Linked DNA regions of Stegostoma tigrinum. The protein of the gene in region 1 purifies or fractionates together with the protein of each later gene. This does not show direct contact. Links are inferred from orthologs where the notes say so. Each region holds a gene or a part of one and is shown in the gene's direction. Other genes may lie near its edges.

Region 1 (7,896 bases):
TTGACTGGGAGCACTGTAGTTCGAGTACTATAGATGGGTCAGTTTTTGTCCAGTGTATGCAGGAGGGCTTCCTGACACAGTATGTAGACAGGCCAACAAGGGGCGAAGCCACATTAGATTTGGTACTGGTAATGAGCCCGGCCAGACGTTAGATTTGGAAGTAGGTGGGCACTTTGGTGATAATGATCACAATTCTGTTATGTTTACTTCAGTGATGAAAAGGGATAGGTGTATGTTCCTGGGCAAGAGTTATAGCTGGGGGAAAGGCAATTACGATGAGATTAGGCAAGGTTTAGGGAGCATAGAATGGGGAAGGAAACTGCACGGGATGAGCACTTTAGAAATGTGGAGACTATTCAAGGAAAAGCTTCTGTGTGTCCTAGATAAGTGTGTACCTGTCAGGCAGGGAGGAAGCTGTAGAGCGCGGGAGCCGTGGTTTACAAAGGAAGTGGGATCTGTGGTCAAGAGGAAGAAGGAGGCTTATGTTAGGATGAGACATGAAGGCTCAGTTAGGGCACTTGAGGGTTACAAGGTAGCCAGGAAAGACCTAAAGAGAGAGCTCAGAAGAGCCAGGAGAAGACATGAGAAGTTGTTGGCGGATAGGATCAGGGTAAACTCTAAGGCTTTCTATAGGTATTTACAGAATAAAAGAATGACAAGAGTAAGATTAGGGCCAATCAAGGATAGTAGTGGAAAGTTGTGTGTGGAGTCAGAGGAGATAGGGGAAGCACTAAATGAATATTTTTCAACTGTATTCACTCTAGAAAATGACAATGTTGTCAAGGAGAATACTGAGACACAGGCTATTAGACTAGGTGGGATTGAGGTTCACAAGGAAGAGGTATTAGAAATCCTACAGAGTGTGAAGATAGATAAGTCCCCTGGGCCAGATGGGATTTATCCTAGGATCCTCTGGGAAGCCAGGGAGGAGATTGCCAAGCCTTTGGCATTGATCTTTAACTCATCATTGTCTGCAGGAATAGTGCCAGACGACTGGAGGATAGCAAATGTGGTTCCCCTGTTCAAGAAGGGGAGTAGAGACAACCCTGGTAATTATAGACCAGTCAGCCTTACTTCAGTTGTTGGTAAAGTGTTGGAAAAGGTTATAAGAGATAGGATTTATAATCATTTAGAAAAGAAGAATTTGATTAGGGATAGTCAGCACGGTTTTGTGAAAGGTAGGTCGTGCCTCACAAACCTTATCAAGTTCTTTAAGAAGGTGGCCAGACAGGTAGATGAGAGTAAACCGGTTGATGTGGTGTATATGGATTTCAGCAAGGTGTTCGATAAGGTTCCCCACAGTAGGCTATTCTACAAAATGCAGAGGAATGGGATTGTGGGAGATATAGCAGTTTGGATCGGAAATTGGCTTGCTGAAAGAAGACAGAGGGTGGTAGTTGATGGGAAATGTTCATCCTGGAGACCAGTTACTAGTGGTGTACCGCAAGAGTCGGTGTTGGGTCCACTGCTGTTTGTCATTTTTATAAATGACCTGGATGAGGGTGTAGAAGGATGGGTTAGTAAATTTGCAGACAACACTAAGGGCGGTGGAGTTGTGGATAGTGACGAAGGATGTTGTAGGTTACAGAGAGACATAAATAAGCTGCAGAGCTGGGCTGAGCGGTGGCAAATGGAGTTTAATGCAGACAAGTGTGAGGTGATGCACTTTGGTAGGAGTAATCAGAAGGCAAAGTACAGGGCTAAATGGTAAGATTCTTGGTAGTGTAGATGAGCAGAGAGATCTCGGTGTCCATGTACACAGATCCTTGGAAGTCGCCACCCAGGTTGACAGGGCTGTTAAGAAGGCATACAGTGTTTTAGCTTTTATTAATAGAGGGATCGAGTTCCGGAACCATGAGATTATGCTGTAGCCGTACAAAAACTCTGGTGCGGCCGCACTTGGCGTATTGCGTACAGTTCTGGTCACTGCATTATAAGAAGGATGTGGAAGCTTTGGAAAGGGTGCAGAGGAGATTTACTAGGATGTTGCCTGGTATGGAGGGAAGGTCTTACGAGGAAAGGCTGAGGGACTTGAGGCTGTTTTTGTTAGAGAGAAGAAGGTTGAGAGGTGACTTAATTGAGACATATAAAATAATCAGAGGGTTAGATAGGGTGGATAGGGAGAGCCTTTTTCCTAGGATGGTGATGGCGAGCACAAGGAGGCATGGCTTTAAATTGAGGGGTGAAAGATATAGGACAGAGATAGTTTCTTTACATAGAACATAGAACATAGAAAAGTACAGCACAGTGCAGGCCCTTTGGCCCATGATGTTGTGCTGTGGAATAATCCTCATCCAAAAATAAAATAACCTAACCTACATTCCCCTCAATTCACTGCTGTCCATGTGCATGTCCAGCAGTCGCTTAAATGTCACTAATGACTCCACTTCCACGACTACCACTGGTAAACTATTCCATGCGCTCACAAGTCTCTGGGTGAAGAACCTCCCTCTGATGTCTCCTCTATACCTTCCTCCTAACACCGTAAAACTATGACCCCGCGTGGCAGTCAATCCTGCCCTGGGGAAAAGTCTCTGGCTATCGACTCTATCCATGCCTCTCATTACTTTGTACACCTCGATCAGGTCACATCTCTTCCTCCTTCTCTCCAGAGAGAAAAGTCCGAGCTCAGTCAACCTCTCCTCGTAAGGCAAGCCCCCCAGTCCAGGCAGCATCCCGGTAAATCTCCTTTGCACCCTCTCCAAAGCCTCCACATCTTTCCTATAATAGGGTGACCAGAACTGGACACAATATTCCAAGTGTGGTCTCACCAGGGTTTTGTAGAGCTGCAGCATAACCTCACAACTCTTAAACTCAATCCCCCTGTTAATGAAAGCCAAAACACCATATGCTTTCTTAACAACCTTATCCACCTGGGTGGCAACTATGAGGGAGCTATGCACTTGAACACCAAGATCCCACTGTTCCTCCACACTGCCGAGAATCCTGCCTTTAATCCTATATTCAGCATTTAAATTCGACCTTCCAAAATGCATCACTTCGCAATTATCCAGGTTGAACTCCATCTGCCATTTCTCTGCCCAGCTCTGCATTCTGTCAATGTCTCGCTGAAGCCTGCAATAGCCCTCGATACTATCAACGGCACCTCCAACCTTTATGTCATCAGCAAACATACTAACCCACCCCTCAACCTCCTCATCCAAGTCATTTATAAAAACTACAAAGAGCAGAGGCCCAAGAACAGAGCCCTGTGCGACACCACTCAGCACTAACCTACAGGCAGAATATTTACCATCTACAACCACTCTCTGCCTCCTGTCAGCCAACCAGTTCTGAATCCAGGCAGCCAAATCACCCTGTATCTCATACCTCCTGACTTTATGAATGTCAGAGAGTAGTAAGGGAATGGAACGCTTTGCCTGCAATGGTAGTAGATTTGCCAACTTTAAGTGCATTTAAGTCGTCATTCGACAACCATATGGACGTACATGGAATAGTGTAGGTTAGATGGGCTTCAGGTTGGTATGACAGGTCGGCACAACATCGAGGGCTGAATGGCCTGTACTGTGCTGTGATGTTCTATGTTCTCTGTGTATTTGCAACATGCAGAATATCCTTTCCGACAGGTATTCAGAATTGATTTCAGAAATTTAAATCCAAAGTCCCTATACAAATGTATTTTTATGGAATGTGTTTTCGCATATCCTGCAAAAAGCCCAGTTCTTTGATCCAACTTCACCCAAAAACAGATCATTCAAAAATTAAATTCCATTGAAAGGGCATTTTTTTTATATTTGAAAGCGCATGCTCTGTTTCGTCACCCTGCTATCAACAAGTGTAAGCTAATTAATAGCTTTAATATCATCTATACAGCCACAAATTTCTTTACAATTTCAAGAGAATGGTCTTTATTTGTGATCACCGTTCTTAAGACACACTGATTAATCAATAAACATGTATTATATATGAGCTGTTCATATATATATTTGAAATCAAATTGTCATTCTCTTTCCATTTGAATGCTTCATTACTTTGAATCTTTTCAATATGATTTCATTACTGACAAGTGTGTTTGGTACAATAAATGCTTCATAACGTTTTCTGTGGAAGCAGTGGATCAAGGATCGATGAAGACACAACATGCAGCCAAATTCCCAAATTGGCTTCAATTCCATTCTCCACGTTAAAAGGAAACATTCCGGAAAGTTCATTTTACAATTCGATAATAAGTTTCTCACAACTGAACTATTATTACCCAAATGTTCTCTACTAAAATAAATTAACAATTGTGACACATTATACATTTCGGGGTAGTCAGCTTTTACTAAAATAAAAGTTCTTAGTTATTACACAACCTTCAGTGAAAGCATGTTGCTCGAACAATTATTTGTGTCACCGCGAATAAATAACTGTGATACTTATTTGGCTCATCTCCTGGAATGCCTTCACCCCCCCCCCCCCCCACCACCACATCCATTCGAAACTATTATTTGGACCAATTGGGTCGTTGTTTTATTTTATCATTGAACATACAGTAGGTCAGAGTCTGGTCAAAGTGCCAGAAGTAGGTTTCTGAAGGACTACTATATTCGTCCGCGCAAATTGGCACTTCTGCCATTCCTGCTGCGCGAATACATGGAAAAGTTTGTGAAGCTGCTGGAGCGAAAGTATTATACCTACGCACGGAATTTGTGTTGCAAATGTTGGCAACGATTCTCTGCTCAACTATAATTCCTTCTGCAACCGTCTTCCCAGCACCACAGCAAACAAAACATTCCTACGCCAGAAAAACTTCCAAACTCATTCTAGATGTCATTCGTTTATTTTTATTATATCGTCCAATCTACTTTAAATGAGAGAAAAAAATGCTCCCCAGGGGACTTAAGTATTGCTTGAAGGACCTTACTCAACCCTTAAAGTCTTGGTCCTGGCGGATCAGTGGATTTTCAGTGGGGGAGCTGGAGAATTTTGCTGCTGATGTTTCATACGAGAGAATACTTTTCTGGCGAGCTGTTAGGTTTGAATGAAATTAGTGAGTACGTTCGGCAGTTGGTTTGGTGTCCCACTAAAGCAAGCAAGCAGTATTTTGTATGCAGGGCAAACATATTTCGGGCCCCTTCTCCCTCTCCTGAATCAGTATATTCCAGTGACAGATGTCCTTCGAAGCAGACAAGTTGAGATGCAACGCATGAACAACTGTGTGTTCCAATGTGACTGTTTTGTTCCTGAAAACGAGCTTACATCAATTGACCAGAAATTTCACTTGTTTTCAGAAGAGTGTCAGGTAAGCGCTGTATTGCCTCCTAGATGTTGAGCAGTCAGGCTTGTTTACGTGTTAAAGAGGTTGTCTTTCATCGAGAATCTGAAGAAAATATAAACTAACCCATGCTCAAGTCAGTATAGGACCTGACTTGTTTCGGTATTTACAGTTATATATAACAATGTGTGTGTGTGTTTATAAGCAGTAATAGTACATATTTCTGCGAAAAAGGTTTAGTTAGAGCAGCACTGTTGCAGGTTCTCAAATTAGATGTGAGATTCTTGATAATGGTCAGTTAAGTGACTGGCTGTTTGAAGTTTCGCTGTAAGTACAATAGCCTTTTGTTTTATTTCGGAGACTGATTATTATGGGTGATGGGTTACGTGGAGCCTGATTTCGCAGAGTACTAACTAATGGGACTAAAAAAATACCAGCCAACCTGACCTTAGAAAAGCCCTGAAGATATGTCACATCGTGCATGACTTATCTATCAACTGTGATATCAGTTGGTGGTGATCATCATAAAGTAGCTTTACAAGTAGCAGTGGGACACTGCCTGCAGGCACTGGCCTCTCTGATCGCTTGATAGGAACCTTACAGGCAGTGAGGAAAGGTGAACAGTATCAGTTTTTCCTTAGCCCTGGATGAAAACGCAGTCTCTCGGAGGTGTGGTATAGAGCTTCCATCATTATTCCATCCACTGATAAAGAAATTCTTTAATCCTGATATTGTGAGAGTTTGGCTGTTTAATCTGGAACTTGGTAGTGAAGTAGGGTCAGAACATTGACAATAAAATCGCAAGGATGTCATTTTCCCTTGTAATCTAGTAAACAGCTCTATTTTCTCACCTAATTCATAGAATCCGGTGCTGGTTTCTTACAGGTTTATTTCTGGATGTTCCTTTTCTGTACTTCTTCCAGATTCCCCTACTTCACTGCACCTCTCTCCCCCTGTTGCTACAGACTTTTACCAAGTGTCAGTCATTGGGTAGTTCCTCATCCAAGCGATAATTCTTCATGCAAGCCTAGACGATCAATACCAGCAGACTGTTCATGTGCAACTTGACGTGATGTCCAAGTACATATCGTTCCTAGTAGGAGCCACTGGACAGTGACTAATTGTGAGAACATTGAGCTGAATTTTCTCCTGATAGCCTAGAAATCCTGAAGTATAATGTATCTGCACTGTCGCCAACACAGCTGCGCTTAGGTAATTTCACTCAGACCAATGAATCTGAGGATACATTGCTGATCTATATCGCTAAGTTCCACCTGAACCTGTACTTCCCAGCTGAGCCACTTAGGGGAGTGAAATTCTTTTTTGTTATACATTACTTGCTCTTGTGTGGATGTTCGAAACTTAAGTATGAGAAACTGGCTTTCTATGTCATGCTTCTCCCCACCACACTCTCTCTCATGTTTTTGACTGGCTGTCTGCTTACATTTTGGTACATCCTTTCACTCTTATTTCTGGTCTTTATCAGTCTGTCCTCAAACCTAGAGCCAGACTAGGTAAGGATGACAGTATATACATATATATATCAAAAGTAAGAATTGACTGGAAAATTCAAATTTGTAAGTACATTGAACAAATAAAAAGAGAATCTTGACAATGGCCATACTTGACTGAACACATTTGACCGGATCTCTTCTTAGAAGCAAAGCAGATTCAGACCTCATTCATGCTTTGATGGGCCACTGTCTGGGAAGACTTACCTTCTCAACTTTCCCCCTTGCCTGAGGCATGGTCACCCTCAGGTTAAACCACCACCAGTCATCCCTCTCAAAAGAAGAGCAGCCTATGGGTTTGGTATGACTGTGATGACTACTTTTATTTAATTAGGTTGGTTTGATTCCATTGAATCAAATATGAAGAGAGATTTCTGGCAGCTGCCGCATTGCTTGAGGGGTATGATTCTCATTTTGAGGTATGTGGCTTCGGAATGAACTTGTGAGATTTTGCTGGTTCAAGTCCAGAATGACTCGTGGTGTGATGTTCTCTTGTTTTGTGAACTGCTCATGTAGCACAGCAATAGTGTCCCCACCTGAGAAGGCCTGGGTTCAAGTCCCATCTGCTCTGGAGGTGTTTCATAGCATGTCTGAACAAAGCTCATAAAGTGAGACTTCTGAGACACCAGATATTGGTTAGGGAGCAGACAGACATTTGTAATGTTGCATTCTGAAATTAACTAAAAGATTGCCACTTCACCAACTGGCTTCAGAACACATTAGCAGTGGGGTAAAACAGGCACCTTTAAAAAGCTTACAGAGATAGTAGGAACTGCCGATGCTGGAGAATCTGAGATAACATGGTGTGAAGCTGGATGAACACAGCAGGCCAAGCAGCATCAGAGGAGCAGGAAAATTTGACATTTTGGGTCGAGACCCTTCTTCAGAAATTTCTGGCCTGGAACGCCAGCTTTCCTGCTCCTCTGACGCTGCTTGACTGGCTGTGTTCATCCAGCTCTACATCTTGTTATCTAGGACTTTGGCTACTATGGGTTTGCTCATCATCACTGTCATCCTCATTAAGCCTACACTCTACCTTCAGCTCCATCCTTTTAAATTGACTTTCTGGTCTAATCGCCAACTTGCAAAGTTCAAACTCTCTTTCTTGTCCTTTATCGTGTTCAAGCTGCTTCATCTTTTCCAACTCGAACATTCTTTCCCTTTATT
Region 2 (7,387 bases), on another chromosome or scaffold:
GGGTTCAACTAAGGACATAGGAGAAAATGCTAAGGTCCCAACATTATTAAACTTGATGTTGAGTCCTGAAGGCTGTAGAGTGCCCAAGCTGAAAGTAAGATGCTTTCCATCCAGCTTGCACTGGTTTTGCTGGAGCACTGCAGCAAGCCTGAGACACAGATGTTGGCCAGGGAACATGGTGGTGTGTTGAAGCGGCAAGCAATAGGAAGCTCAGGGTCACTTTTGCAGACAGAATGTTGATGTTCTGCAAAGCGGTCATCCAGTCTGCATTTTGCCTCCCCAGTGTACAGCAGGCCACGTTGTGAGCAGTGAATACAGTAGACTATATTGAGTGAAGTGCAGGTGAGTCACTGCCTCACCTGAAAATGTGTCTGGGATCTTGCATGGTGAGCAGAGAGGAAGTAATCAGGCAGCTGTGACACCCTCTGCTGTTGCAAGAGAAGATGCTGTGGGAGATGTTGGGAATGGAGGAGCAGTGGAACAAGATGCCCTGGAGGGAATGGGCCCTGCAGAAGGCTGACAAGGGAGGTGAGGTGAATATGTCTTGTGGTGAAATTCTATTAGAGATGGCGAAAAAGGTTGTTAATGATCCTTTAGCTGTGATGCTGGTGTGTTAGAAAATGAGGACCGGAGAGAGACCCTATAGCTATTAAGAGAAGGCAGTGAAGTGGTAAGGGCCGAAGTGCAGGAGATGGATTGGACACAGATGAGGGTCATGGGGAATTCAGTTGAAGAAGGAAATGGACGTTTCAGAGGCCCCATTGCAGAATCTGGCCACATTGGAAGAGATGTGATGGAGAAGGAGGAACTAGGATAATGGAGTATTGTCTTTGCAGGAAGCATGTTGTGAGGACGTATAATCAAGATAACTGTGGAAGTTGGTGGGTTTGTTGTGGATATTGGTGGCCAGCCCATCATCATGAATGGACATGGATGTTGAGGAAGGGAAGGAAGGAGTCAAATGTGGACCAGGTGTAGGTGAGAGCAGGGTGGAAATTGGAAGCAAAATTGATAACATTTCCCAATTCCGGGTGAGAGAGGGAAGCAGCACCGACAATGTTATTGATATACTGAAGAAATGTGGGTGGAGAACAAGGTATGTTCCATGTACTCCACAAAGGGACAGGCATAACTGGGCCCATGCAGGTACCCATGGCCTCCTTTTTGACCTGAAAAGAGAGGAGCGTTAAAGGAGTTGTTGCTTAAAGTAAGGGTGATCTTGGCCAGGTTGAGGAGGATGGTGTTGGTGGATTGGGATCGTTCAGACTTTTGTTTTTTCAGGAAGTAGTGGAAAACCCTGAGACCACCTGATCAGGGATGGATGTGTAAAGGGATTGCACGTCCATGGTAAAGAAGAGGTGGCTTAAGTCCACAAAGTGGAGATTCTGAAACAGATGGAAAGGGAAGGGACTGGACAAGAGGTGAAACAATTCTGTCGATGTAGGAAGAGATGAGTTGTGTGGGGCAAGAGCAGGGATAAACGATGGGTCTGCCAGGCGGTCCTGTTGGTGGATTTTGGGAAAGAGGTAGAAGTTTGCAGGACTATGAGCTCAGAGATAGTGGTGGGGAGATAGCCAGATGACATGAAATTAGTGACTGTTGGCGACACGGTGGCCTGGTGTTTTGTGGTGGAGTCATGGTCCTATGTGAAGTACGAAGAGGTGTCCAAGGGCTGGTGCTCAGAAGCCATAATGAAGAGGCCAGTATGCCAGTGCCAGCAATTGCACCACCCTTCTTGACAGGCTTGATTACAAAGTCAGGGTTGGATCTGAGAGGACGGAGTGCAGTCAGTTCACAGTTTTTGGGAGGCAGAGATATTAAGGCAACCAGTGTGACTTTGAGTGGCGGTAAATACCACAGGTTTGGGTCCAAATGGAGGAAGAGTGTTGGTGATGGGTGAAGGGGTTTGTGGAACTAGGAGAGGACTTTCATCCAAAGAAAGAGGAACGGAGGTGAAAATGATGGAAGAGGAGTTCAACATCATGTCATGCCCAAAATTCATTTGGTTGGGGGATGAAGCAGAGACATTAAAACTGAGATTTTTGCTGAGTACAGAACACTCAGCATCAGGAAACTTAAGGTCAGACAAATAGTAAACACACAACAGGAGGTGGGATTAGGGGGTTCGGATGGTAGGGGCGAGAGGAACTTTCCAGAGGGACGTGTTGCTTCTTGTGTTCAGTAGTGCCTGAAAGGAAAAGAAAAAATTCTTGTTAGTGTTGGATGAGGCGGAGGATGAAATGGAACTGGGGTCACGGCAGCTCTGAGCCAGCATGAGATGGTGCTGTTGGAGAGAGAGATTAAGAATGTGTGTATGGCACCACCTAGCACTGAATAGCATAGTACTGTGTCCTAGCTACAATCTGTTCTGAAGAACAGTCACTGGACCTGAAACATTGACTTTTTCTCTACAGATACTCCCAGGCCTGCTGAGTTTCTTTCTAGCAATTTCTGTTTGTGTTTCTGATTTCCAACATCTGCAGTTCTTTGCTTTATTTTCTTACAAACTTCTGAGGTTTTGATTATATTTCTCCATATTTTATCATTGCTGTTAGATCACCAAACTGGACTCTGATTTGAAACGTATGTTTACATACCCTATAGCTGTTTTTGATCAATGGGACTACACAGAAGTTTTTATATACAATCGCTGACATCTGCTGAATGAGCTTCTCCTGCTCCTATGCTGTTCTGTATAGGTCCCAATTACTGTGATATAAAAGTGCTATTTTTATCAACTGCAAAGATGCTGCACGTTGATCAACAACTCCATTGTTAATAATTTGTGTAGTCTTAAAATTAGAAAACATCACCAATATTAATTTGCTGCTTTGTTAGCCCTATTACATATACTCTTCTTACTCTATTATGATGTACACGTGTATTAGTTCTTATAACATAACTACAATATTCTTGGACCATTGCAGCCATAGATAATTAACTCCTAATCATGATCCTGACTTGGAAATGTATCACTTTTCCTTCAGTGTTGCTGGTCAAAATCCTGGAATTCCCTCACGAACTGCATTGTGGGTCTACCTAGAGCACATGAACTGCAGTGGTTCAGCTCACCACCACCTTCTCAAGGGCAACCAAGGATGTGCAATACATGCTGGCTCAACAAAAGAATTGAAAGAAAAACTTCATCAACGTTGCTCGTAAATCAACAGAACATTTTTATAAAAAAAAATGTGAAGCTGATATAACTTCAGTTTCAATACGGTTCCTCATGGTAAATGGTCCTTCGCCGATCAATTGGCAGATAATTGGAATTTGCCATATTGTGAATCGGAGGGATGGAGTTGCATCCTTATACCCTACTACAACTTGATATGTCGTTTTAGTACACGAGGATGCTGTCCGCTATAGTTGTCTGAAAGCATTGTCTGCCCTATAAATAAGCTTGCCATATATGGAGCGCTGCACAGTCACTGGATGTTATCTGCTTTCTTAGATACATAAGTTATTTTTTTACTCCCCACTTGCTGACAGCTCCTGTTATTTTAGCTTTTCATTTCTACATGAGGACTATATAGTCTTTTCCTTTAAAGGAATAGATCTAAGATTGAAAGTATCTTGGAAAAAGAAAATGTGTTGACATTTCTGAAGTCTTCCAACAATACATCATTTGAATGAATTTGGATCCGGTATCAAACTTGATAGCAGTCAAATAGCTTTACTCCTCCTCATATTGCACCAGTGACTGTGGCATAAGAGAGCAGAACTTCAGTTTTGATCAGCATTTTGACTGAAAATCAAAACTGAGATTATAAACCTGTAAGAGATTGTTGGAAAAGAAACTTCATGACATTTGTTAAATTGTACCTGCATCCTAGTGAGATTACAAAGAAATGTGTGCCAAAAAAATGACAAATTGAACACATTGCTGCAGTGCTTTTCTGATGTTTAAAAAAACAACTGTAACAGTATCAGATGAATATTTAAAAAGAGAAGTTGCTTTCTAAAACATATCTGGGTACTAGTGAAATAAATTTATATCGTGTTAAGCTCTACATTTATCTTCTCACCTTTGACCAGAAATATATAAATTACTGAAAAACATGTTGCATGCCCAAAGGGCATATTTTTAGAACTAATTATGATTAGTCAATCATTTAAAACATTGCCAAAAAAAATCCCTGAATGTACTATTTTGTAGTATTGTGTACTGTAGCCAGCTTTGGCAAAATCACATGTTAAAAAACAAACAAATTGGATAATACTGCTCCTTTTATCATAGAAGCTGGAATCTTTGAACCTTGTTTAGAAGAATCTCTTTTCATTCTTTTGAAGAATTGCAATTACTTTTCAAGTTTTTTTAGTAATAGTGCAAGTCTTAATTTCTAACACTTTTTAAAAAAAAAACCTTTTACACAATACTGAGTACATTTTTAGTGCGTTCATTTTATGTAATGGAGAGTAAGTTGCTAAGCAACAATGAAAAAGGTTTTGTAGGTGAACATGGAATCTTTGTTATAAATTAAAAGCCCCTAGAAAACTTAATAACATTCACCTTGACAAGGGCTGGTAGGAGCTAAGGTTGGAGATGCAAGTAATTCACAATTATTTGACTTTATTACTTAAATAGACGTTAGATTGTGTTGTCATCTATGTGCACCTGATTGGCTGAATGAATACTGAGGCAGGTTGTCAGGCAGTGACGTTGAAACACTTTGGCAATTTGGAAATATTTAAGCCTTTCCTGGATGTGTGGCCAGTGAAATTCGATTACTGACAGTCTGCTGCAGTGGTGCACCAAGGGACTACATATATAGAGAAAAACCAGATGACAGTATTTCCCCATTTGGGAGAGGACTTCAAAACTGACTACCAGAGAGATTACATTATCCCGTGAAGCCTGTGTGGCGAAAAGCCCATATCCACTGAGATAAATACATTTGACGGCTTTTGGATTATAAAAAAATTGAACCGAGTGATGGGAACTGTTAGTGAGCTCTGTGCATCCAGCTTCCAGGCTTTCCTCTGTGTAAATGCAAAACCAGGTATGGTTGAATGAGATTTAAAGCTGAAAGATAGTCTTTGACTAGTACTGTAAGAGACACCACTTTAGGTGGTGGGTTTCCAAATTTAACAAACTGATCAGATGCAATGGCTATAAAAGTGAAACACTTTGATCCATTACCCATTTTTCAGCATGTTTGTTTTGTTTTGAGTTAAATATATTTCCTGTTAATACAATGCTTTAGCAATACTGACTGTGTACAATCTGAATATCCATAGCAATGAAGAAAACAGACTGGAATTGATATGTTTGCCAGTATTGTATGGTCATTATTATGGCAATATTGCCATTATTATACTTTTATGAATGTTTAAAATTGCTTCAAAAGAGACAAGAGTCAAAAAATTAATAAAACTCTATTTACTCCTGAAATTCTGCAACTATTTTTCAAAAACTTTCATCTTTTCTGATGAACTTGAAATTTAATTCCAGTTGTGGCTCGATTAGCATCAGGTTTTGTGTAGATGACTGCATTTTTGAGCAGTGAAACATCTGGAAACCTGCTAGAGGTGGAAGCACTTGTTGTTTTTCTGTGAAACTTCCTTCTTGTATTAGGTCACTAACTAACTGGTATTTTTCCCACTTGAACTGCACTAGAATTGAGAGATCTGGAAGATTTTGAAATTAATATCACCACTATCTACATATTTATTGTATTGTGCAGAAAAATGCTGAGATGTTGATTAGTGTTAATGAAATCAGTAATTTGTTAATTTGAATTTGATAATTTATTACTGAGTGTTACACTATGTAGTAGGTATTTGAGCATTGGTTATTAAAACAGGTTTTGTAGTAAATATTCTGTCTAGTAATCACTGAAATATGTATAATCTCATGTGCAAACCTTTGTCCATGTCCAATTTATTTCAATTGTATTGACATGTAGCCGATATGACAGTTTTTAACGCAGTTGACTGTCTCTTGAAGAATGATTGTTCGTGTTAACAGGATTCCATAGAAGTAGGGAATAATTACAGCACAAGGGAACCATTTGGCCCTTTGCGTCCATGCTAGCATACTACAAGAACAACTTAGCTAGTTCTAATCTCTCATCCTTTTCCTGTAGTTCTACAATTTATTTTTCCCTTCCGATAGTTATCTAATTCCCCTTTTAAATCTGCTATTGAAACTGCTTCCAGCTGCACTAGGATAGATTTTTAGGTCTGTCGGTAAGGAAGAGTGTTTGGGAATAAATAGATACGCTTTCAGAAGAACCAGTGCAGAAGAGATCGATCAGGTGGCCTCCTGTGCTGTATGTTTAAGAAATAAATTTCCTCTATTCAATTTGTGCCTTTAAATCCTGAAATAGTTGAGAGAGCATTTAACTTACGATGATTTCAAAATGTGTACATAGTAATACCATAGTTTCCATTAAGTTTGAAAAAGATGCCCCTTGTCAAATTTATATATAATATTTATCAGAAGGATCATACAGGAAGTTCTAATATTTCAGCATAATCATTGATTAAAACATAACGTGGCAACAGACAGCTTCATAATCTGTCAGCATGTTTTGTAGTCTTGATCTTTCCGACAGTGATGTTCTGTCATTTAGTGGATTGTCATCCAAAATAAGCAATCAAATGCAAATATTAATTTGGGGAAAATAGAACCTGTAGGAGAGTATAGCCTTCTGCCCATCAATCCAAATGCTACGTGTAAGGAGGCTTTTCTGCTAGTCGTCTGTAGTGTATGTTAGCATTAAGAATGGAATAGACATCCATCAGCTGACTAAAGCAAGAAATGCTGACAGCAGAATGCTTGGTTTGAAGTTTCTGTTCCTAAAAGTAACTTGCATATTCAGACATTTCAGCCACTAAAATGGCTGTGCAGCTTTTGTGCAGTGTTGTTTGTGATTAAATACTTTTTTGAGCCTTCAGAGGAGTCAACCACAAGTTATCTTTTTGTATTTCTTTCAATCTTGATTTAAAGCACAAAATAGGCTTGAAATGTTACAAATACAGTCCTGAATACTCTTTTCATTTTAAGTGTATCTTACAGTATTTCTTGAGACCTGCATACTACTTTACGTAATCAGTGCAAATCCCATTCAAGATTGTGCTGAGTTGGCAAAATGATCATCTGTTGTGAAGTTCGTATCGCTAACGCCGTGAGACTCCATTTTGAACATTTGAGTATTTGGCTGGAGTTTGAAATACTGGATTCAGAATGGCCTTTTTTACTATAATCTCTTGTTTCTTGTTTTTTGGCAGTCTGTGTAAATTATGGCTTGACCTCCTACTGTCATTATTACTCAAGAACATAATTTTCAGGATTTCTTCCTGAGAGAGTATAATTAACTCTTGGCAATAACAGTAGCTATTCATTAAGTTTGAGTCTTGCAACTTGTAATATACCCCACTC

Evidence for each region.
Region 2: the proteins of innate immunity activator protein-like (region 1) and cyth1b purify together in Homo sapiens (co-immunoprecipitation; 3 studies listed by BioGRID and IntAct, counting the BioPlex papers as one, with this or other methods). This does not show direct contact. The link is inferred for Stegostoma tigrinum from reciprocal best matches to the Homo sapiens genes INAVA and CYTH1.

The regions. Positions count from the first base shown.
Region 1 is NC_081374.1:27,357,921-27,365,816, forward strand, and holds the start of innate immunity activator protein-like, read left to right. Parts: upstream 1-4,895; 5' UTR 4,896-5,245; intron 5,246-7,896. UniProt on the Homo sapiens protein: Expressed in peripheral macrophages and intestinal myeloid-derived cells, is required for optimal PRR (pattern recognition receptor)-induced signaling, cytokine secretion, and bacterial clearance.
Region 2 is NC_081375.1:16,533,426-16,540,812, reverse strand, and holds the start of cyth1b (cytohesin-1b), read left to right. Parts: upstream 1-4,382; 5' UTR 4,383-4,936; coding exon 4,937-5,003; intron 5,004-7,387. UniProt on the Homo sapiens protein: Promotes guanine-nucleotide exchange on ARF1, ARF5 and ARF6. Promotes the activation of ARF factors through replacement of GDP with GTP.